Linked DNA regions of Arabidopsis thaliana. The protein of the gene in region 2 interacts with the protein of the main gene of each other region in a pairwise test. Each region holds a gene or a part of one and is shown on either strand. Other genes may lie near its edges.

Region 1 (12,758 bases), on a different chromosome or scaffold from region 2:
AAATCAAACATACGACTAAGGTTCATTATATATATTCTTTTACTTCGTAGACATTTTCCTTGCAATGTAATCTATTTTTAAAACAATTCTAAGGTTTCCAAATTACCGCGTGAAGAAATTTGAAACATTCGTAATAGAGTTACGTAATTAACTAATTATAATACACATAAGACAGGATCAAGTCTTCTGCACAAAGAAGATTGGGATGACTGCACAAATTATTACATTTTTTTCTGTTTGAATTCTGGTCACTATAGTTGTAACTAATCGGAACAAATTGAAGCAAACCAGAAAGAAAATGTAAAGTCAAAAAAAAAAAAAGACTGTTAATTAATTCCAAAGAATACATTTTCCACCAAATCTGAGAAACTATGTGCAAACCAAATAACATTAAACACTAAAGACTGATCTCAAACGATCCCATCAGTTCTCCTCTGTTCAAGTAAACCTGTCTCAGATAGTGAGCCTTAGTTTAGTTAACCGATGAATTGTTCGAACTTGAGTCTGGTGATGATCCATTACTAGCCATAGAAGCATTACTGATATCTTCATTGTTATCATCGTTTCTCGATGTTTCTGCATCAGTCTTTGGCTCATCATCATCTCCTGTAGGAAGCAGATATCTGCAAACAGGGCATGAGCTATGAAGCTCAAGCCATGGCAACAAGCAGTCACTATGAAACTTATGCTTACACGGCATCTCTTTAGCCTCCATTCCAATCTCAAAATCATCCAAACACACACTACACTGCAACAAACTATCTTCGATTTTCACCATCGCCAATGCCTCAACCGCTTCTTTTGTAGCTGGAGGTGTCCCATACCTGTTGTTCAGATCATTCTCAGCCAAACGCTGAAGCAACGTCTCGAATCCAGGTCCAATGAAATAGTCACCCAAAGATCCAGAAGGAACAGAAGTGGTGTCTACAGAATCTTGATGAACCCTGATCCTTTGGTTAAATGAGTTGATCAAGACGACAAGCTCGCTATTATCGGGATTATCCTCGTTGTTCTCGGATTCGATCAATAATCCAGCTCGAATCCCCTGAAGCAGATTAACAATAGCAGTTGAATGTCTAGTCCTTATCCTCCTAATCTCTTCAAGTTGATGAGTTATATCAATTTCTCCATCATTGTTCTGATCACCATCATCACCATCATCTTCGTCTTCGTCTTCATCTTCAAGAATAGATTCTGAGTCTTCCTGATTGGTAGAATGTTGGTCGTGATTGTTGTTCATCATCTCCATCAAGATAGGAGTCCAGAGAGAATCAGCAGCCTGATGGTCATCATTATTATCCATTTCTTCAACAAAACCACTTTGACAGAAATTGCATTTGATGATTTCGTCTTGAATCAATGGAATCACCGATCGGGAGCACATGTGACACCAGTAGCTAGTCTCTGATGCATCTTCCATAGTTCAATCCTTCCTTGTTCAAACTCTCTCTGCTTCATAGCCAAATAAAACACTGAGATTTAAACCAAAGGTTTCTTCTTACGAAATGCAGAAACGATATCGAACCCTAGCATCAGAGACTTGATCAAACCAAACCAACCAGAGATAATAAAAACAGAGAAATCAAAATCAAATCACGAATCATTTTACTAATCAAAACTCAATCACGGAAGATTTGTAGAGATTAGAGATTTCAAACGAGAAAATTCAAACAACAAAAAACCTAGAAATCAAAAACATCACAAACCTCTTTAATAGGAGAATCGGGGAACACGGTTTATTAACTTACCTCTTGAAAATCAAATCAACGAAAAGTCCGAAGAATATCCAAAAGGAACAAATAGTAGACGAAGAAAACAGTCGAGCGACAAAGGACCAAAAATTCAGCAGAAAGGGATCATCGCCGAGAGGAATATTTTGTGGGTAAGTGTCTGAAAACGGCTGGAGATCCACGCAGACTTTTTTGAGTCTTTGACCCCTTTTTCAAAATTATTAATCTAATCAAATCTCATCTTAATAATAGTCAGACCGACGTGGATAAGTAAGTTATACCAATTTTTATAGGTCAAAGAATTAATTTGCACGAAACTCCTTGGCTACTATTAGGCCCAATTAATTAATTAGTACCGCAACTTCGCAATTCACATGGGCCGGTGGTTCAACATTAGGCCCCATGCCACGCCATATTCATCATTCATTTAATCATATGAGTTGGAGAACTCGAGTCAAATAGAGAGACTAAAATGGCTGGAATCTGGCACCAAGTTAGTCTCCTCAAGTTGTCATTAGATCTTATAAAATGATAACATTATGTTTATATCTGTTTCTTCTATTCTCTTACGGATATTACAAAGAATATTTCCCCATAGGCAAATCATGTTGCTACTTTAAAAATCTGCAATAAAAACTTCACTGTTTACCAAACATTTTGGATGAAAAAACTATCTTTGAAGTTTATACTAACCCTCCGATTCACCTATTTTTCATGTACAGAAAAGAATGCTAATGTACATTCGTAGTCCAAATAACCCCAATTCTATACAGTTCCGAGTAAAATGAATGATGATAAAGGCATTGTTCTTGCTTGTTATCCACTATGTAAATCTCGGATCTGGATTCTTCAAATTGAAAACAAAGAATGGCCTTAGAATTGTTGAATGAAGTTGCTCGTGACAAAAGCTATCTTCCTGCAAAAGTGAGTTGGAAACTGCCAGGCAAAAATGATAAAAGCTGAGAGCAGTGCTGCAAGTAGTAATGTAGATTGACAAACACATGCAATTTACTGAGTCCAAGGATATACCAAAGCAACAAGTGTTCTTTCTATGTCTATAAAAAGGTCAAGTGTGAAAGTTAACCTAACCAAAAGCAAGGTATAGTATAGTACCGTCCACAATCATTAGATGTTCTATCAACAGAGACTAGAATGAAGTGCTTCTAAGGATCTGGATAGAGGAGACTTCTTTCGAGAGGCTTCTGCAGCAGATGATTGGGATCCTTTGTAAATGTCTCCAGCTGAATGGTGCTTAATCACCTACAAAAGGTTGAAAACCCACTTGCTATGTCTGTGTAAGTTTTAGAGGAGTACTGAGACAAGAAAAGCAGCATACTATGATGTAATATCAATACTATGTGGCCTTTGTTTGTTAGTGAGAAACAAGTTTCACCTAACCTAGAGTGGCAAAGAGCTAAAAAGCATGGTTGGGTGATCTAGATAGTTCAATCCAATTCTCACTATATTGCATACAGTTTCAAAAGAAAGGTCCGAAAAGAAGCATCTGGAAACCCAATTGGTAAAACCATAGACAAACCAAGTATAAAAACCTCAACTACAATGAGTACACAAACAACTTAAGAGAAGAATAGGTAGAAATAAAAAGACCTGTGTTGCATTGGGCAAAGTGATATTGCTTAGGCCGCCATCTAACAGAGGAGTGTAGGAGGCAGGTTCGTCAATAGAATCTTCCAAGATTTCGTCAGAACGTGAACGTTGCTTAGCTATAGCAGGAGCCTGTAAGAAGCTATTTCGTAATTCTGGATCACGTGAACGTTGCCTAGCTAAAAGAGGAGGTTCTAAGAAGCTATTCCGTAAATCTGAATCTGATTGACGGGGAAATGGAGAGTCTATAATAGAAGCTCCCAGCCTATAGATCTGAAACCATAACAGAGAGGACGATAGCCTCACAACGAACCCAGCAATTTCCATAGCCAGGGTGAGTTTCACAGAGAAGATGTAAAAGACTTGATACATATCAGATGAAATGTTCCTGCATTAACAATTAAATCTTTTGTCAGTTATAGGCAGCAGATGAATACTGGCTCAACAGAATCTAAACACGACATAGCAAAGATTTGCAAAAAAAAAGGTTTAAAGATCAATCAGTTCAAAAAGATGATGAGCCAATCAAGAGAAATTCAGGACAGTTTACAATATGTGATGCAATGAAAATTAAACAAGACAGAGCAAACTCTTAAACCAAATATTTGATCATGATCACAAGCACGGCTGTTCCAAGGATAGTGACATACCAAATCTCTTTGGAGAAGAGAATGAACCATGAGACATCAAGAAGAATGGCGCAGAAAAGAAGAACCGCATAGGTTCTGCCAAGACTTTGGCTATTACTCTCGATTGCTACTAACCCAAATAACGCAATCGCCAAATTTATCAGCACGACTCCATTGTACAATGCCCCTAGTGAACCGATCAACGCGCACCCTATCTGAAACAAATGATTCATCAATATGAGTTTCTTGCACTTCTAACCACAATTAAAAGAATAACAAACAAATATCGACAGAGAAATCGTAGAACCCTAATCCCAAACAGATACGAACAATTCACGAGAAAAAACGTGAAATCGGAGGAAATGAAACAACTACAAAGCGATTACGGATTTACCTGAGCATAGATAAGAATCAAAACGACAGATTGGAGCCTAACGTAGTCGCGAAGCCAATTATGTATTCGATTTCGTAACGAAACACAAAGCATCGTAAAATCTCAACCTCGCAGCTCTCGTTACTTGTTACTTCAATGGACTTTCATAATACAAAATGGCTCGACGATTCTGATGCTAAATTGCAATTTTCCGGCGAACGAAATCGGTGAATCAAGAGAGAACGACGATTTGAGAATTTTCGTGAGGGAGAAAGTAAAGAGTGTCTTTGGCGGGATCGCGTTGCAGAAGAGGCAACAAAATAAAAAAATGAGGAAACGAAATATTCCGTTCAATCGTGACGAAGTTATTATAAGATTTAAGGAGGTTTCCGTTTCTTGTCCAGAGTGACGGACGCTTAACGGAGTCACGAAATTTTGGGCCGTATTGGAAAATCTTTAAAAGCCTAATCAAGCCCAAAACTTCAGACCGGTTAATATCTGAACATAACCGAAACCGGTTATCTCGGTTAGCGATTTTCGTTTCAAAAACGACGCCGTTAATTCCTTACATGTCGACTACTCATATGTGTCGCCCAGATTTGAAGATCGGAGATATGAATCTCTTCTTTCTCTGGATTTGAAAGTTCGATAAAAATCTACTGATACATCGACTTCTGGAAGCGATCTCGATCTCTCTAGGTTTGTGATTATCTTTGAATTTGCTGATTGTTTCGTTAGGCGTGAGGAATTGTTCGATTGATTTTTTTTCCTTTTGTCTCCGGTAGAATTGTTTCGACGACGAAGATGAAGAAGATTCAAATTGGTGCGGTGGCGCTATTGGTGTTTCTATCTGTGGCCTCTCTCTTTGAAATCGGATTGGCTTCTCCGAACACAGTTCCTGCTTTCCTCTGGTCTCCGCATCTCCAGTTATGCATCTTGTTTTCTCTATAATTCTCAATTTGATTGATGGAAATGTGTAAAAAGCCTGGGACTTGTGATATCTGATGTGAGTTAGCTTAGATTACTGGGTTGATTGGTTTATGTGATTCTGAAAATCAGGTCTGCTAATGGTGAATTGGATGAGGCTGTAAATTATCAGGTCATGTCTGCAAAGGATCTAGTTGGTTCTGTTTTCACTCAAGGAGGTTGGTCAAACTTTCTGGTATGGTTTCTTCTTCATGATCTTATGATTTCAATTCTACAACTCACTGGATGTCAAATGATTTTTCTTATTGTCATTACTGTCTCCTTTGTTTAGTGCTCAGAGAAGAAGCTTGAGCAACCTGTTGATGTTGCACTTGTGTTCATAGGCAGAGAGGTAATTGAATGATGTAGTATTGTTGTTTTAACATTAGCATAAATGACCTTGTGGATCTTTGGTTTCTTGTTGTGATATTGTAAAGAAACTGATGTTTTAATATTGCGGGAAATTAATCGTCTTTGCTCTGTATCTTCTGTGTTATGCTGAGAATTCTAATATTCACGTTCTCTTCCGCCTGCAGTTACTGTCTTCTGATGTTTCTTCAAAAAGGAACTCAGATCCTGCCCTTGTTAACACATTGAATGTAAGTGCAAATTTTCTTTTCTTCAACAAGAAATTTCGAAATTGCATCCGTAACACAGATCTCTGACATAGTTGTTTGATATAAAGTTTACAATACTCTAACATCCAAGTCTTTGTTTCAACAGAATCTATTTACAGCTTCCAACTTCTCATTGGCATTCCCATATATTGCTGCTCCAGAGGAAGAAAGGATGGAGAATTTGTTACTTTCAGGGCTTAAAGAAGCTTGTCCCAACAATGTAGGAGTCAGCAATATCGTGTTCTCAGATTCGTGCTTTGTTGAGGATGGAACAATTCAGAAACTTTCAGACTTGCAGTCTTTCAAAGTAATACTCATTGCTCTTAAGTTTTTATTTTCCCTAATCCCATGCCTTCCCAGTGTTATCACCCCCTTAACTTCACTTTCTAATACTCATTAATAATTGACAGGATCATTTGCTTGCTAGAAGAGAAACAAGGAAAGAAGGAGAAACTGACTTGGTTGTGCTCTGTTCCGAGGGTTCTGAATCGAATAGTCAAGCTGGACAGTCACATTCAGAGCGTAAGTGGAAAGATCATTACAAAATAATACTAACAATTAGATATCATTTGAGAACTAGGAAATTAAGCAATTCTTTGACCTATTCTGCAGGTGAAAGCTTCTTGGAACTTGTTAGTTCTGTAGAACAATCCGGCAGTAAATATACAGCTCTTTATGTTTCTGATCCTTATTGGTACACATCTTACAAAACTCTCCAAAGGTTTCTAGCTGAAACTGCTAAAGGAAACAGTACTCCTGAAATTGCTACTGGCTGTGATGAACTCTGCAAATTTAAGTCATCACTTTTGGAGGGCATACTAGTGGTAATTACTCTTTTTACTCGTGTTTTTTTGGTATTCATCGTTCTCAAGAAAGATTCATAAACATCATAGAATGGACAAGTTTAATGAGCATCTTGGTCATATCTAGCTGGAAGATAATTTAATTCAATGTGTTAAAATTTCGTAAAAGCCTTTGATTATGTCTCGTCCTTTTCTTTTTCTTTTTGCAGGGAATCGTTTTTCTTCTCATCTTGATCAGTGGACTTTGCTGTATGGCGGGTATCGATACACCGACTAGATTCGAGACTCCTCAAGATTCTTAAGCTGTTGACCTTAAGAGCCATCCCCACCTTTTGCTTTGCTTTTGACGAGTCTTTTCTTGTGCATAGTGCGCATTGTGGAAGGTACTTCAATGTCGATTTGTTACATTATTACTTCAAAACAAAATCTGCATATGCCATAAAATCCCCTTGTATCATTTATTCATCTTGTTTGTGAGTCTTTCTTAAACGTCATAAATTAATAATGGAGAACGAGTAAAAAACCAGAGATACATACACTGGAGAACGGATTACATTCTTTTTCAGAATTTTTTTTGTTTCTTTTTCTTAGATTATATTCCGGAGTTATCGTGCTCATAGTATCGTATTCATATCAATTTGGGGATTCGGACATAGATTTTCTGGAAGAAAAAAACTCAGGACAATAATGTCGGTAGAGTCAGAGTGGTAGGACATGTGTGTGTACCATCACTTGTATAGATAGATAGAAAGATAGATATAGATGATAGTTTTGTGAACAATTAAGAAAATAGTAAGAATACATATATAAGTTTTGTCATGCAACATGCAATTCTAATCCAAATTTAATGTTTGCCTCGGCATGTTTAGTCATTATTAAGTAATATCGATTGAGCAATTAGCAGTTTATAATTTATCTAGATAGACCTTTTGTTTTGACTATTTCGTTGATTTGTTCCATGATTCAATACTTAGCAAAACATCTTCATATGTTGGGGTCCTTATGGTCCCTGCATGGACCTATTGACAAAGTCATAAGATCAATCTTTCAGATTCTTTGATTGACCTCTCTCTCTCCATAAAGAAGCGTATAAAGAATCAAAATGACCGAAAACGATGGTTCTATTCATCTTTTCCCCACTATACATACTCCTACATTTATTCTAACATAACACTATTCGTATCCCTGTTTTTTTCAAAGTTTATACTATAACAAATACATGACTGTATTTGTCTAATTACGAAGAAGTTTCAAAAGCATCATTTATGAACAATGTTTATCTTTTTTTTTCTTACACAAACATTTATAAAAAATCATGTCACCATGACATGTAGCTTAGTTTTATACTAGCGATATTTTTGTGTCATCGTCCGAATTAGAATTTGCATATAATGCATATTATCGATAGAATTTATACGACTTTGTTTTCTATACTGCCACATAATTGAAATTTAAAGATTAGAAATATTACGTATAGGTTTTTTATTGAAAAAAATATTTTCAGTTTCGCACAAAAATATATGTAAAAAACAAATAGAGGGAAGCACATGAGACATAGGGGTTTGAGCCAAAAGAGCAGTGAAAATCCCATCGATCTGCCACTCCACCAACTGACATCACATTGTACCCATTTTCTTCTTCTTTTCCTCAACTATCCATTTTTCTTGTTTAGACAGACACCCCCGCAAATATTTATTACCTGAACTATAACAACAACCAAATTTTGAAATATAAAGAACAATGTTGAACTAACAAATTTGCTTCATCTTTTATTTGCTTTAGCTTTCATACGTAAAATCTCTTGTGGCGTTCACTTCAAATTTTATAAAAAAAAAAAAAAAATTATCTTCTGTTTAACAACATATGACATCTTAAATTGATATTTTAATAATAATGAAAAACTATAAAAATGTACGGCCACGCAAAAGTGACCTACTCGAGCAGGTCCTTTTTTGATCTTTTCGATAACTTTGAGATTCCAAGTGCTGATTTCTGTGAATTTTTGTATATATATACACACATATTTTTGTCAAAGAAACAATATATATATATATATATATATATATGTATATAACTGACGGTCTCTATTTACCGATTACTTGTTTATAAATTAACTTATACGGAGTATAAAATATAGATGTTTATTTAATAGTGCCCTTTCGAGTACCTGTCGGGATAACTAGCTAGGGTTACACGTAAATGTTGAGATTCTTTCTTCTTTTAAAAATGTTTACGAGAGTCCCTTTTTCTCTCTTTCTACACACATTTATTTCTCTCGTGAGTTATTTCTTAGTAAGTCCTAAAATTAGAAACTTATAGTTCCTATCAACTTACCAAAACCAGGTCGATTTTGTGCAAGTGCGTCTTGTTTCTCAAACCACGTCCCTCGTCTTAAATTTTTATTGCATATGCTTGTCTTTGCTCAAACAGAATCTATTTACCTAGGTCGTTAACCAAAACCTTTTTGAGCTTGTTAATTAGAAACTTGAAATTTTCAAATATGTTAATATTAAGGTTCTTTGATGATTTATTAATTTAGAGAGCATTTAAATATAGGAGATTTTGTTTAAACGTTTTATCAAATTTCACATTTTTGGTCAAAGGAAAAGAAGGTTAAACACAATTCAAGAAAACAATAAGATGACAATTTTCGTTATAGACAGGAGCAATTTATGTGTCTATGTGAAGATGTATGTGTATATATGTATATGAATGAGTAGATATGTATATGGCCCCATATCTCTTAATGGCATCTGTTAAAGCTGTAAAGGTTTTTGCAGCTTAAGAAAACTAATATTATGAGGATGGAGAAGCATGGAGGAACCTTATCTCTTTCATTAATTCTTTTTATTTTTCGAATATATATAATTCTTTAATATATGACAACTGTTTTATATTTCTTTCAAATTAATTTAGGTTTTTCTTTCCTTATCTTTTTTTATTATATTTTTTTGCTTATCTACCTTCTTGGGGGCATAAAATCTCAAATCTTTCTCTCTTTTCAATTCAATTATTTTATTCCCTCTTATTTCTCTTATCTCTGACCCATCTTCTATATAAACCCAGAGCGGGTAAGTCCTCTAGTATTCATAAGCACCAAAACAAATATGTAGAGATCTCCTCTTCCATTCTCTATTGTTACTTTCGAGAAGAAACATACAAAACACATACATTTTTCTTTTGTTTGTGGTTTTCATATATACAAGTGGGTATAGCTAGTGAAACGCGAATGTGACGAAAGTAGTGTGCAGCCAAGGATGACTTGCCGATTTAAATGATCTTTCTTTATACTCTATTAAGACAATTTAGTTTCAAACTTTTTTTTTTTTTTTTTTTTGAAGGATTCAGGAAGAAATTAGGATATATTATTCCGTATAAAATACAAGATATATAAAACCAAAAAGAAAAAGTAACATGATCGGCAAGTTGTCCTTGGCTACACGTTACTTTGTGTCGCGCATAGGTGTTATATGGTAAAGATCGCAAGAACTCAAGCTAAGGAACAATGCAGAAAGAGGTAACTAATTTTAAACGGTTTATAAAAAAAGAAATTCCTTGAAAAATATGTACAACCAAAATTAATTCCTCTAAATATTGAATAAAAGCTTTGTAGAACAAATTAAAATGCTCAGATTTGTTTTGGTCTATATCCCTGTTTCGTTATAGTTTTCTTTAGTATACAGTAGAAGGATCGTCTTACATCATAAAAGTCCAGACTAATTTCAGCTGGAACAGCAAGATCTTGATGAATTTCACTGGTGAATACTGATTAAAGGGTTGTATCACACACACTTTGCATATCTCTATTCATTATCTGCTCAACACGTCACACGTGCTTCTCAAAAAGATATACATGTTTGTTGAACATTTGTTTTTGTTTTTTTATTTCCTCCAGAATTAGAAACTATTTCTAAAACTGCTGCCAACCATGAGACGAGGTAATAAATAAATAAAATTTGGGCGGCCAAGCCAAGCCATATATGCGGCAGAGTCGAACTCTCGGGTGAAAAGAGACGGTCGCAGGTGGAACGCAATTAGGCTAGAGGTGCTTCTCGGTAATTCATAAGTTTTACTCACACCAAACCAATTTGGTAGACAAAGGGACTAGGGTTACTTGGATGTATAGCTTTTTGGAAAGTTTTTTTTTTTTGCCAAAATCATGTGGTAGTATTAATATTTTTCCATGTATGATTTAAATAAAGACTGTGAATATGAAATAGTGTACTAGTATGAAAAGAAATTCAGGTAAGTTAGTTTGTTTTTTTAATCTCGACTAAATAGAACTACTAGCTTCTTTACAAAAAATTTCATGTGCTGTTAAGTACTAAATAAAATGGTAAAATTTGGCTATATCATCCATATAAATGTTCAAAAATTATATTATTAATATCTCTACTAAATTAAAACATTTAAGAAAAAAAGACGTAACTTGTTGGAATCGCATCGTCACAACACGCGCGCGTGAACTTTCTTTTCACATTCTCATCGGTTGCTCTGTTTGACTTTGACCTCAAGCGTCAACCGGTTTTGCTCTCAGATTACGATGAATAGAGCTAGTGTACATGTCACGCTTGCTTGCGGTGGAATTTAACCTTTCAGGTGATTTAGGGTTTTATTTCGATCTAGGTTTCGTTTCTGTTTTCTCTGAGTTCCGATTTAGGGTTAAGTTATTCCTAGTCCGTATATCAAACTTCGCTTCCTCTCTGCTTCGAAACAAAAATCAAGCTGTGAAATTAATCGGTTGTGCATGAAATACATAATTTGAATCTCTTATTCTCTATCTCTAGTGTTGCTTCTTCGAAATATTTCTTCTTCTTCTTCTTCTGATTTTCAGATTTACTCATCGATATGATCGAGGAGACTCATAACAAATTATCCTTCTACTTAATTTCTTGAGATTAATTTCAGATGACTCCTATCCTCTCTGGATTGAACAATGACAGTCTCTTGTGTAGGAAGAAGTTTAGGTTACTTAAGTTGATTTCGTTTTACTATTATTAGAGAAACAACAAGTTGGACTGTAGTTAAATGATAGTATATGTAGTATTTTAAATGAAATTAGGAAAGGGTTAATTAATCACGTAATACACTCACTTGGAAAGTAGAATTTTACATATAAATTGAAAAAACTTTGTCGAAGTGAGTTTAAATAGTGTAGGGTGTAGGTAATGGCAAGCCCTTGACGATGCCGCAAAGGTTGGTGTTGAGTGGGATGTTGTACTCGTCTCTTAGTGATTTTTCAGGGGACAGAACACTGACGTACAATTGCTGGCCCAAGTATCTTCTCTCCCAGTTCTCTGATCTGATGTTCCACATACCGGCATTGTCGAATGTCAAGAGAATGGCTGACCAGGATTTGGGGTATACCTGCACGGTGTGTCTGCTAACGGCATCGAGCAAGTTGTAGTTGTTTCTCTTCTCTGGTGTCCATCTTCCTGGCTCGGAACTGTGTGAAAACGTTTAGAGAAAGTGTTAGGGATCTCATATCTTGTATAAGAGACGCAGGTCAATTCATTCATTGCCAATTGGTTTAATGGGTAAAAGAGAAAGGGCTTACGCGACAGCGAAGAAGGAGTAACCGTCCAAATGGAAGGATTGCATGCTTTTCTCGTGGTTCTCGAAGACGACTTCGACAAAGGTACGGAAAGTGATGTTGAGGACATTGGGCTCGACGGTTAGTGTTGTGATCTTGGCTGCTGGTTCGTCCTTGATGACGTTGTATTTGAAGACCTTCTCGGACATGCCGAAGTACTCAGCGAGCTTCAAGGGAGTCTCGGTGTCAACGTGTGATACACCGTTGAATCCAAACCTGACCTTTCCATTCACCAAATTCTTGGTGTTGGCGAGCTTGATGGTACGGGTGATGTTGATCTTTCCGTAATGGTAAGATCCCTGGGGGTTAGGTCTAGCAGCACTGGCGGTTAAGTTCCATCTGAAGGATCTGAACTGATTGAGAGACCAAGCCCAGCCGACGGGAGCCTTGGGGATATCGCTTGAAGCCTGAACGTTGCTTCCTTCGTAGCTCATCACACCAA
Region 2 (11,153 bases):
GATATATGGAGTCATTAAATTTGGAGGGTTTTCTTTATGAAGCAATGCAGGTGAAAACAGCGGAAGAGACCGTTGAGATCAAGCTTGCATGTAGAGATCCAAAAGCTTTATAGAAAGGTGGAGGCATGAAGACAAAGAATTCTTACACAACAAACGTAGGACGTAATTTTGTGCCAGTACATGGTATGGCTTTCATATTTGGTAATGATTAGGGCCACACAAAATTAAACCCCAAAGCATGATTTGTAATATGAGGTTTTAGATGGACTTTATGATAGGATCGTCAGTCTTCACTGCCATCTCCATTCTCCACCATCAATCCATCATTATATCTTGTGAATAACATGGAAATTTCTCGTTATGCATTTAATTTGTGCAATCATTGGCCGTAATCTACACAAATATACATATTAATTTAGCTTGAATATATTATCTCAATTAATGGTTTCAATTTTTTTGTTTTGTTTTGTGAGTGGAACCACTTTTTATGTGGAATTGTTAACCCTAATGCCAAAATCTAAACTCTGCGAAGGTCGCCAGCAAACGAAAGAAAGAGATTATCTCCGCCGTTGTCAAAATTATTAAAAGGGATTATAAAGTTTTTCAATTTGGGCCCCTTTCCTGCGTTTTCTTTATTGTCCATTATGGGCCTCATTGTCTCTAGACTCTCTACCTTACAGGGTTTGCTCGCCGACGTTTCATACATAGTCCTCTTGTTTCTAAGGATGCCGATTAACACTTTTCATTTTTATCAACAAACTGGCTTGCAAGGGTTTTGAACCTGAGTGATGACCTACCATTTCTATCCATACTATAATCAGATTTTTTTTTGTTCTTTTTTATAATCAAGTTGGTGAAATAATTAACAACAATACTAGCACAAATCATTAACATAATGGTTCATACCTCATAGCCATATAAGATCATGAAAAAGTTATAGTTTTAGAAGTTTGTTTTTATTTTTAGTTAAAATTTAGTTTTTCCAATTAAGACCGAGTTATTAGTTAACAATGTAAAACTTAAGTAAATGCGATTTCTTTGGATTGGTTTGATTCGACTACAGTAAAACATAGGTCTTTGTTTTGTTTTAACCATAATAAAATCAATTGGATTATAAATAACTTTAGTTCTAATTCCGTTTACACATTTAGGTTTGCTTCAATTATAATCCTTCATGGAGATAGATAGCTAGATTAGTGGTGGTAATAATGTATGAGTTGAGAGAGTCTCTTTTTAGGTAGAATAAGATTGCACATGACGTGGCATTGTGAACGTTGTGGGGTTTTGTGATTGGTCTTGTCTTCTACTTACAAGACAGTCATATGAGAGGAGCATTTTAGAGCTGGCCCAATCATAAAAGACAGCTAGCTCTCTGTGACTCTGTGTTATCCGTTATGTTGCAGCAGCGACGAAAACAATTTGCTTCTTCTTCTTCTCTTTTGTCCTTATAGATAATACTTTTCTTTTCAAAATCAATTCACAATTGCTGAAGATATCAAAGATTCGTTATCTGAAAGTGACGCAGAAAAAGTACACAAAATAAAAGTGTTAGTGGGTAACTGGAGGATAGATAGAGAATATAAACAGAGAGGACGACAAAGAAGTTCAACATTCTCTCTAGTTTATCGCGCGCTTCTTTCTGTTACACGTTAGCCAATCTATGAGGAACATTTTCTGATTTTTTTATATGTAAGTATATTAGGATAATCATTGATACAAATATTCGATTCATCTGGTGTTTCTCTAAAAGATTAGGATATTTATGGGAGAAGAAGCTCTTCCTCGAACACCAATACGAGGAAATAACGTTCAATGAAGTTTGACATTACATCTTAATATTATATTTTAAGATATTTTTTAATATGCGATGAAGGAATTCATCTATGTAGTACGGTAACAATTGCAAGTTGAGGACGTCACGATTTCATTAGTTTTTATGGCATATCTATATTCGTCGTTGGGGACACGATGCAAGTATATTATTTTTTTTTGATAAAGCAAACTTTACAGTTGACAAAAAAAAATTACACCTTTACAATTTACAAAATATATGTTTAAAACATATCATAATACATTTGTTAATTAGAAACACTATGGATTTATATAGAAAATGTACTGGACTAATGGTGGATACAAATATCTAAAATGGAAACAATCAATGACGATGATTGATATTGAATGTTGTGACTCGATAGGAGATCAAGTCTAGAGATAGTTGTAAGGGAAAAAGTAGAAAAGAGTATAATACACTAAAAATGTATAGTAGACAAAACGAGCAAGATTTGAGGCATCAGAAGAGAAAGAGACATGTCGACCGGTGGCAAGTGGTAGGTATCACTATGTAACAACACAAACGTCAAAACATGTGAGAAAGCGTTTTTGCTTCGCTTTTCTTTTTCAATTTTCCCCACTTCACTTCACTTCACACAGTCACACTCTTATCCTCAGTATCTCCACTTCTTTTTTCAATGAAATGTTGTGGATAAATAATACGATAATTGGCATCCACTATCTTAAACCAGCTTTGTATGACTATGCCCGTGACAGCTTACCAGAATCTCTGTGTTTTGATTAATACTATTTCCAGACACTAAAGGTTCTTTTTTCCTAACCTAATTCATAATTAGTCGAAACGTAAAGATTGATTCTTCTAATTATTAATATTCATATATAATTCCAGTAGCTGAATCAGGTTCCTGTGTTCTATCTAAAAGTATACTATACAAATAAAAACCTTTTTCTTCTCGACATGAGTTTAATACTATATGAATATGACTACACAAATATTTTTATATTTTTTGAAAAAGATAAATATGTTGATGTTGTATACCCAAAAAATTGTGTTTTAGCTCCAAAAAAATACCAATGTCTTGCTTCAACGGTCTCAATGATCACGATCCATAAATCATAAATTTTATAAAGTTCAAACGTTTCTAGCTACAAGCTAGTTTCATATGATGCCGACACATTAATTCATAGCTTTCGTCTCTTGTCCTGTAATTAGTCTTAAATGCTTTATTTCACCCATATATAGCTTTTCACTTGACTCACGTTTCAACTCCGTTCTACCAACACTGATTTAATCCTCATCAGTTCAAAAATCTCCCTCACTCATCATTCTCTGCTATAGTTCTTGATGAATAAAAAACTCTAACCATCTCTTGTTCCATCTAAATACAATGTGGTAATTAATGAACGCTAAGATCAAATCAAGATTTGAAATGATGGAATCAAATATGCAATGATTAACCATCTATTAGATCCACACCATTATTTTAGGGTTTGTCCGTAACAGTTTATGAACAATTCAACAAAGCGCATAAAGTGAAATGGATTAAATTTGTAAGAAACATAGAAAATGTTTCTGCTTTTTATTTGCACACATCAATTTTACAAGTATATCAAATCAATATGGCGAGAGAGCATTTACATACACCTGACGTCATATTCTTACGTCATTTCTCCGGCGAACAGTTACATTCCACCGTCACACACAAGAAAACGAAAAGATATTTTTTTAAAGAATCTTTTTGTAATTAATTATTCCGTCAGAAAGAGATCAAATCAACCGTCGCCGATCTCGTCTTGGTCACCGGCGACTGAGGCAACCTCGCCGTGAAATTAGGAAAAGAACCATCGTCATCAGCTCTCACATTATCCTCGAAATTGAGCGCGTAACTCAACGGATCGTAACTGAAATCTCCAGGATAACTCTGGCTATGATGATGATGATGAACACAATTATTATAAGCACAATTGTTGTTACGACACGTAACCTTGATACGTGACTTCACACGCCGGCACCGATCTCTTAACTCTAGCTCCTGCGCCGTAGATTTGAGCCATTCGTAAGGAGATCTTGGTGTTCTTTGTTCTCCTCCGATCATCATGGCTTCTGGCTCAACCACCGCGTTGGCTCCTATACAACAGATCGGAGATCTCATTCTGTGATTTGTGACTCTCGTTGTTGATCTTGCGGTGGAGGGAGAGCTGCATTCGTTATACATTCTTGATCTTGTAAATTTTGTTTCTTTGAGGGATTTGTAAAAAAATACAGAGGAAAAGATTATATGGTTTCTTGAATTAGGAAAAAAGAAGACAAGTGAGGGAAAGAGAATGTGTCTGGTGAGAATAAATAGGAAAACAAAAAAGAAGAAGATAAGAGAGAGTAAACAAAACTCCGTGGATAATGCGTGGGCTTTTGGGCCTGATCCGCGTTTTCTTGCTAAAGTTATTTTTGTTTTGTAATAATAAATATTGCTACTTGTATAATATATAGTTTTCACCATGATAGTGCTGCTAGAGAAATTTGTTGTTTTTGACTTGAACTTTAAAAGAATCAATTTTTATTGGAAATAAGTGTATATAACAAAGGTGTTGCTACTATGTTATGAACAAAAAAAAAAAGACTTTTTGCTGTTCTATTGTAATTTGAAAAACAAATAGAGTTCCGAATGAAAAATATAAAAGTGTCTCCTTTTTGCATCTCTAATTGCTTCCATTCTCCACCACCAAGTTTCACTCGCTCTGCGTCGTCCACATCCAAAAAATAGTGTCTCAGAGGCCAAAACTTCCAACCATCTCTTTCTTGGCTTTGCTATAGTATAGGTTTAAAGTACTAACTATGTTTACCATCTCATGTTCTGAGTCTGAATCTGAAAGCTCCTCCTGCGAAATGATACCAACACACAAATGCAACAAAGTTATAACTATACTGCGTATATGTATTACTATGTCACCATGATTCCATTAGTTACATCTGTGGTAAGTCGAGGAGAGGAGGTATTGTCTGCATTTTGATCAGATGCATTGAAATAGAGATCGGAATGTTGTTGATTCCTCGATGATCTCCTACGTGATATAATTCTTATCCTCCTTCCTGCTCTAATACTTGTTTGCAGCCAAGAGTGATGTGACTATATGAAGAAAAAGGTCAAAATGTGTATGTGTCAATGAGTGATACATAAATTGGTGATGAAGAAAGAGACAGAACAAACCTGTAACCGATTTTGACCTGTTGGGGATATGAACACTGCACGACCAACATCATCCTGAGATACATACAAAAGGATAAGTGTTATATTGTAGTCGTAGACATACACATAAACGCAAAGGCATCTACAAGCTAATTCGTCTTAAAAATATTAATCAGATACATATGTACACACTTGTGTTTCTCCCATGCTAATTCTTGAGGTGCCATGGCCTAACGCAAGAATTGAACTTCCTAAGTGACACAAGAGGCTTCCTGATTCAACCACTCTTTCTTGCCGCAATCTTCGGGCTGATGGGTCCGTAACATTTACTTGATCCACAAGCAACATTGAAATATTCTGCACAATGAAAACAATTTTATCCCAAAATCAAAAAACATATAATGGAATGTGGTAAAAACTCGATTCAAGAGAAGAAGACAACATACTGATAAACATTCAGCAACTTCACCAATCAACAATCGCCTTGTCGTATGTGCCAACTCCCCCCAATGACATTCTCTTGCGATCAGATCCTCCCTGGAACGGTTAGGAGCTTGCCAGTTGTTATCATCATTGTTACCTAGAAAATTCACAATACAAAATGTCACAGAAATTCAGAGATTTTATTTCAACTAAATAGAAACCATGTCTAACCATATGTAGCAAACACTTGTCTTATACGATCCAGATGTCGAGATAAGGTTGTGATAGAATCTGGAATCACCTGCAGAATGACCAATAGATATAATTTTCATGAGTAAGTTAAAGAGTGTGTACCCTGAGAATATAAGAAACCTTTTACAATGACTTACAACAGATGGTGTATCATATCCTCTTGCGGTCAGTTGATAAGAATGGTCAGTCAGAGTCCCCTGGCCAAATAAAGGAGAGATAGATGCTTACTTCTTGAATCTCAAGTGGCCCTTAAACATCAAAGAAGATACAAAAGAGAGCAAGAGAAACTCACTCGACCAAGATTTGAATTAGCCGCTGAAAAAGAATTTACCAACTTAGAGAATTAGTATTTTACCAAGTGTTAATTTAGAGACTATTGAGAGAATATACACCTGCATTACTAGAGAATAGTGGAATTGGTGGTGATCCTTTTACCAAATACAGAGTGTGGCCTTCTTCAACATCTAAGATTTAACCCATTTAAAGAAAGATTCATTCGAAAAATGAAACCAAGTATTATGAGATGCGATGAAAAAAACAAAGGCAGGATACGATAATCTGATAAGCGTTGATCATTCTTCAAAACTCTTCCCCGGAATAACAAGCGAGGTTGTCGTTCCGGTGAAACTCCACAATAGTAACAAATATCCTGCTTCAGATCTCGTACAGGTATCTGCAAACCATAGAGAAATAAGTCTATAGCAGAACAAATATGATGCCATTGGTTATCACAACTAATGATCAACCAAGAAACCATTATGGAATACAGAAGGACACAAGGAAACACACAATTTTTAACCATAAAGAACAATCTTACAGTTCTCTCAACACTTAAGGTGTGAGTTGTAGAATGCAATATCTTAATCTTTATCCTAATCAAATCCGTGAAATCGTGCGTGTCTCCCATTCCTTTCAAAAGCTTTTGAAAAACCTGAGAACAAAATATACAAAATCCAATCAGAGACGAAAACACTAAACCAAACCAGCCAAAGACTAAACTTTTATCATCAGAATCTCCATATTTGGTGACTGATTATGAAAAGCTTACTCTGCGATCACCATTCACCACCAATATACAAACTTTGATCACCACGCAAACTCACCATTCGCTACTAACTTTAATCAAGAAACAGAGAAAACGATATTAACTAAAACCCTAGAATATGGAGAGCGAAAGAAAGCATCACGAAGACGAACGATGAGATTAGGAGGAAGAGATACCAAATGCGAAAGAGTAAGTAAGAACTTGAGAAAATCGTACAGATGGAGAACAGATTTCGGTGTGATGCTTGAACCCTAGAATCTCATCCACGATCCTGCAGAAAGATTCCTTTCTTTCTTCTTTCAATTCTGTTTTTTTTCCCTCTGCAAGAGACCTCTCAGTATAACAGATTCAAACAGAGCTTTATGCATTGCTGTTATAACGTTTGGGAAAATAACAAATATAACCCTGATTTGTTTCGCTTTTTCGTTTTAGACCTTGATATTTATATTTATATCATAAAGTCCTGAACATATGTAGAGCAAATTAAACGTTTCCATGTATAAACGGTGTGTTTCAAATTTCAATTATAGAAGTTTTTTGTTTTGTTTCCATGTGTTTCTTCTTAAAACTGAAAAGAAAAGGAATAAAAAAACGCGATAATTTTGAATCGAAGTTTCACAGAATCATGTATAATTCTCATTTTCTTTTGTATGATGAAAGAAGTGGACTTAGGCTACCAGAATCTCCGAGGGAAAAAAAATTGAAATTGTGTATATGGGCCATGCTGGCCCGTTGTTTTTAAGGGTATGCAAAAAAGATTTGGGTTCTGGGTCCATTACCCAATTTAAAAATATTTATTCATAGAAAGTGTTCTAAACATTTTTTTAACACAGAGGCCTAACTGCTATTGATTTTAGCTCTAGACCCTATTGTTGAGGAGAAGATGATGATTCTCCATAACTTTGGTGACTATTTTTTCGTCGTTTTAAAACTCTTCCCTATAACATGCAACCAAGTTTTTAGTGCATTTTATAAATTAATATTGTTGTTTCTTGGTCTTCTATTGGCGGGATGTCCATCATGGTCTCCAATTCTCTATTTGAAACTCATTAGTCAATCATGTTTAATTATTACAGTAGTTTTGTAACGCAACTTTAATTTAAGAAAAAAATTACTGTAATTTCTTATTTGGCTAAACCGTTAAACTGTAAATTGAGACAATTATAATGATTCTATATTCATATCATATCGTCGCATTTACGAGCCCTATATCGGGAATCTTTTAATTTCAGTTTCCTCTTTATATCTTAAAAAGTCAATGATTAATGCAATTTATGGAGTATAGGTGGGTTGGTGTGTGTTGCAATTACAACCTATGGCACGACAATATCTCTAGGAACAGTCTTCTCGTGGGGTTTTAACATTTATTTTTGATTAAAGTTGTTTTTACAAAGTATTAAACGGTGCAAAACTGCGAATTGTACAATCAAAAATAAAAAGATATTCAAATCAACAGCAATTTTCTAAATAAAATAAAAATAGTTATACTTATTTCACTAAATAAAATGAAAGTAAAGCAGAAATATGAAGAAAAAAAAAGTAATAGTAAAAGAAAGTTCATCTATAAAGAACTGGTGAACTCTTTTTAGCTATATTCCTTGGTTTTTCTACGAGTAACACCATTTTAGTGTAACATGTGTTTAAGTCTGGAGTGGATGCATTCTCGGTGGATGTCATGTTTTTCGATCATATATATATATACACAATACTACAATAAGATGCAACGGGTTACCACTTACCAGTAGCTAAATCAATACTTGCATGAAGGTAAACGGTTAAAAGTTAAAGCTAAGATAACACTAAGAAATCACGATACTTCTTCAATTTTAAGATAGAAGAGTTAATATTGATATGATTGAATCCTTTACAACCAAAAAAAAAAAAAAAAAAAGAATACCATTTTTGGTAAATAAGGTTTTTAAGATCGTTAGTTTCTGGATTGTTTAGATAATACTAAGATTTTTATTTTTTTTTGTGCACCAGATAATACTAAGATATTCAAATGTCTCTTTTAGTGGATGGTTATTGATTAACCAAATATACAAACAGATGTCGAAATGAAGAAGAAAAAATGGCAAATCAGCATAATATCATAATTATTGAAATCTGTACATTATAATATTGGATGCTAGTACAACATCATTGCTACAACCACTTTAATAAAATGAAAATATCAGAGAGAGAAATAAAGCATCATATCCTTTGTAATATGATTCTCAAACTCGAGTCAAATTAAATATTCCTTACAATTTACTATTTACCAATTACTATACTCCATAGGCATCGAGCCCTCTCTATTCAGTTTTACATTCTCGAAGCACCTTTTTATATCGTGCATGAGATATCGGACATATAATGAAGAAGATTGTAACACGCTTTATACTCGCCAAAAAAGATATCAACTTAACAAATGCTGATAAAAATAGATACAGAAGATTACTCTTGATCTATTTTTTTGTGTGAAATTACTCTTATGATCTTATCGCCACTAGAGTAAAAGAGTTTCCTTGTAAAAAAAGATTTGGAACAAATATTTGTTTTCACCGAATAATTTTTTTATCGGATGTCCCCGAAGGGACTTTCACCAAATAAAGGTGAGTCCAGATGATTACTAGTGGACTTTTGGATTGTAATAAGAACGAATAATCACATGACCACGACCAGGCCATGACCATGACCATGTTAAATAAATCCAACTTCCACTCTAAATCCAGTGTCAGACATTGGATCACCAGTTAAACACTTTTGGCTCTTGGATTGTTATGATGCTAGTAGAAGCCTGGACACGTGTGACATAAATCTATACGTGTCGTAGTAATGTGGACGTGGTGGTGTGAGTGTTGTAGCCTATTGCTTTATCACATTGTGTGTCCCGACCATACAAAAATAACTGTTTTGTCCCTAACTTACCCAACACGACCTCCATGTGCCCCGCATCATTGTGATCTACTACTATTTTCAATTATATTTATTGCCTAGATTCGTCTAAATCAACTGTTTACAATCGTCGTACCCACCTAATCATATACTAATGTCTAATATTAGTTTTACTTTCTTTTAGTTTTTATCAGGTATAATACTATTTTAGTGGTATTAACGTTTGATAGGTGCTACTAAGAATTAATTACACACAAAATATGGATTCTGTCAAGACCAATTTAGACAAAATGTGAAACGAGTAGATCAGACCTTATTAATAATCTCAATCATAATTCTCTCTTAAATATTTAATCAAATTAGACAAAATATAGGTCGTTTCTGACCGTCAAACGTTTAATATCTGTAGAAACCGTGTTTAAAGGTTTAGTTGGTAAGAACTCTCTGAAATGTATCCATCAAATTCTTAAAATTGATATTCTGCACCAAAACTATTACTGGCAATAATCTGTCTAAGCATATTTTGTATTTTGCGGTTAAGGACGCATTGGAATAAGACATATATTATTACTATGGTTGAGTTCATCACCAAATTCCTTCTGCAGAGAAGCTGTTATACCTTTAAGATAGCATATAAATGTTCTAATACATCAGAATAGTGTTCGAGTCAGTAGTTCCATCAATTTGTAGGGACTCTTTAGGTCTAATATGAAACACAGTTGCATGGATCTCCTCCACCGTAACAACTTTATACCAAATGCTAGATTCGTTGTTGTTGTTACATTGCTTTTAAGCCCATTCAAGAGTTTGGCTAACTCACCAGTAGGTTTAAGGTGAAAAGTTGTTGAAATATGTTAAGTGTTACGTGTTGAGTAACTCTTGACTAATTATGATCATAATACGAAATTCTTAAAGTGTTACGAATTAACGATTGGCATTGCCTTCCAAAAAACTAGCTATATCAAGTCCTCTCTCTTTGGCCCTTTTTTATTTGGTAGTGAGCTGTTATTTCTTCTTCTAGCATTAAACCATCTTGAAAGGAAACAAACCAGCAAACGTAGGTACTTTTAATGATGGTGTCAGTTAGATCATAGATGTAACTTTATATGTTACCTTCATGTTATAAGATTTCTATATTGATGTTGTTGGGTATTAGCAACTAGTATTGATGAACCCAAAAAAAAAAAAAACTAATTTTGATATTTATTATAAAAAAATAATAATTAGTAATTAATATTTGATGTTAAGAGACTATATACGTAGACCAAAGGCATGTTTCAGACAAAAAAAAAACAAGAACAATAGAGTGCTAAATTTGATCAATGTAAGCTTTTAATATCTACTACAAAATCTAAAATTACTAAAAGTCATAAATCTTCAAATTGCTATTAAATTTATTTTATAAACCAAATTTAATTATTTAAAATATGTTTATAAAACTATTCAAAGTCTACCAAATAAATATGACACAAATCTTCAAATTGCTATTAAAATTATTTTATAAACCCAATATAAAGTCATATTTATTTGGTAGACTTTTGAATGGTTTGACATATGTGATTTTAGCTCACTAATTTATT

The links.
Region 1: the proteins of AT5G11070 (region 2) and AT3G13410 interact in a protein complementation assay, tested with the Arabidopsis thaliana proteins (one large-scale study listed by BioGRID).

The regions. Positions count from the first base shown.
Region 1 is NC_003074.8:4,356,416-4,369,173, reverse strand, and holds AT3G13410 (2-C-methyl-D-erythritol 4-phosphate cytidylyltransferase), read left to right. Parts: upstream 1-4,857; 5' UTR 4,858-5,036; intron 5,037-5,122; 5' UTR 5,123-5,141; coding exon 5,142-5,263; intron 5,264-5,396; coding exon 5,397-5,499; intron 5,500-5,595; coding exon 5,596-5,655; intron 5,656-5,839; coding exon 5,840-5,902; intron 5,903-6,026; coding exon 6,027-6,227; intron 6,228-6,330; coding exon 6,331-6,442; intron 6,443-6,532; coding exon 6,533-6,744; intron 6,745-6,932; coding exon 6,933-7,025; 3' UTR 7,026-7,539; downstream 7,540-12,758. Other genes in the region: AT3G13430 (RING/U-box superfamily protein), read right to left, coding at 473-1,420; AT3G13420 (uncharacterized protein), read right to left, coding at 2,868-2,990, 3,339-3,723, 3,986-4,179, 4,359-4,451; AT3G13403 (Defensin-like (DEFL) family protein), read left to right, coding at 10,348-10,382, 10,499-10,637; AT3G13404 (uncharacterized protein), read left to right, coding at 10,194-10,240, 10,619-10,637; sks13 (SKU5 similar 13), read right to left, coding at 11,869-12,169, 12,281-12,758.
Region 2 is NC_003076.8:3,512,892-3,524,044, forward strand, and holds AT5G11070 (uncharacterized protein), read right to left. Parts: upstream 4,145-11,153; 5' UTR 4,008-4,144; coding exon 3,549-4,007; 3' UTR 3,201-3,548; downstream 1-3,200. Other genes in the region: KNAT4 (homeobox protein knotted-1-like 4), read left to right, coding at 43-76; AT5G11080 (Ubiquitin-like superfamily protein), read right to left, coding at 4,558-4,668, 4,758-4,916, 4,998-5,051, 5,169-5,333, 5,423-5,556, 5,631-5,700, 5,789-5,848, 5,944-5,966 and 3 more.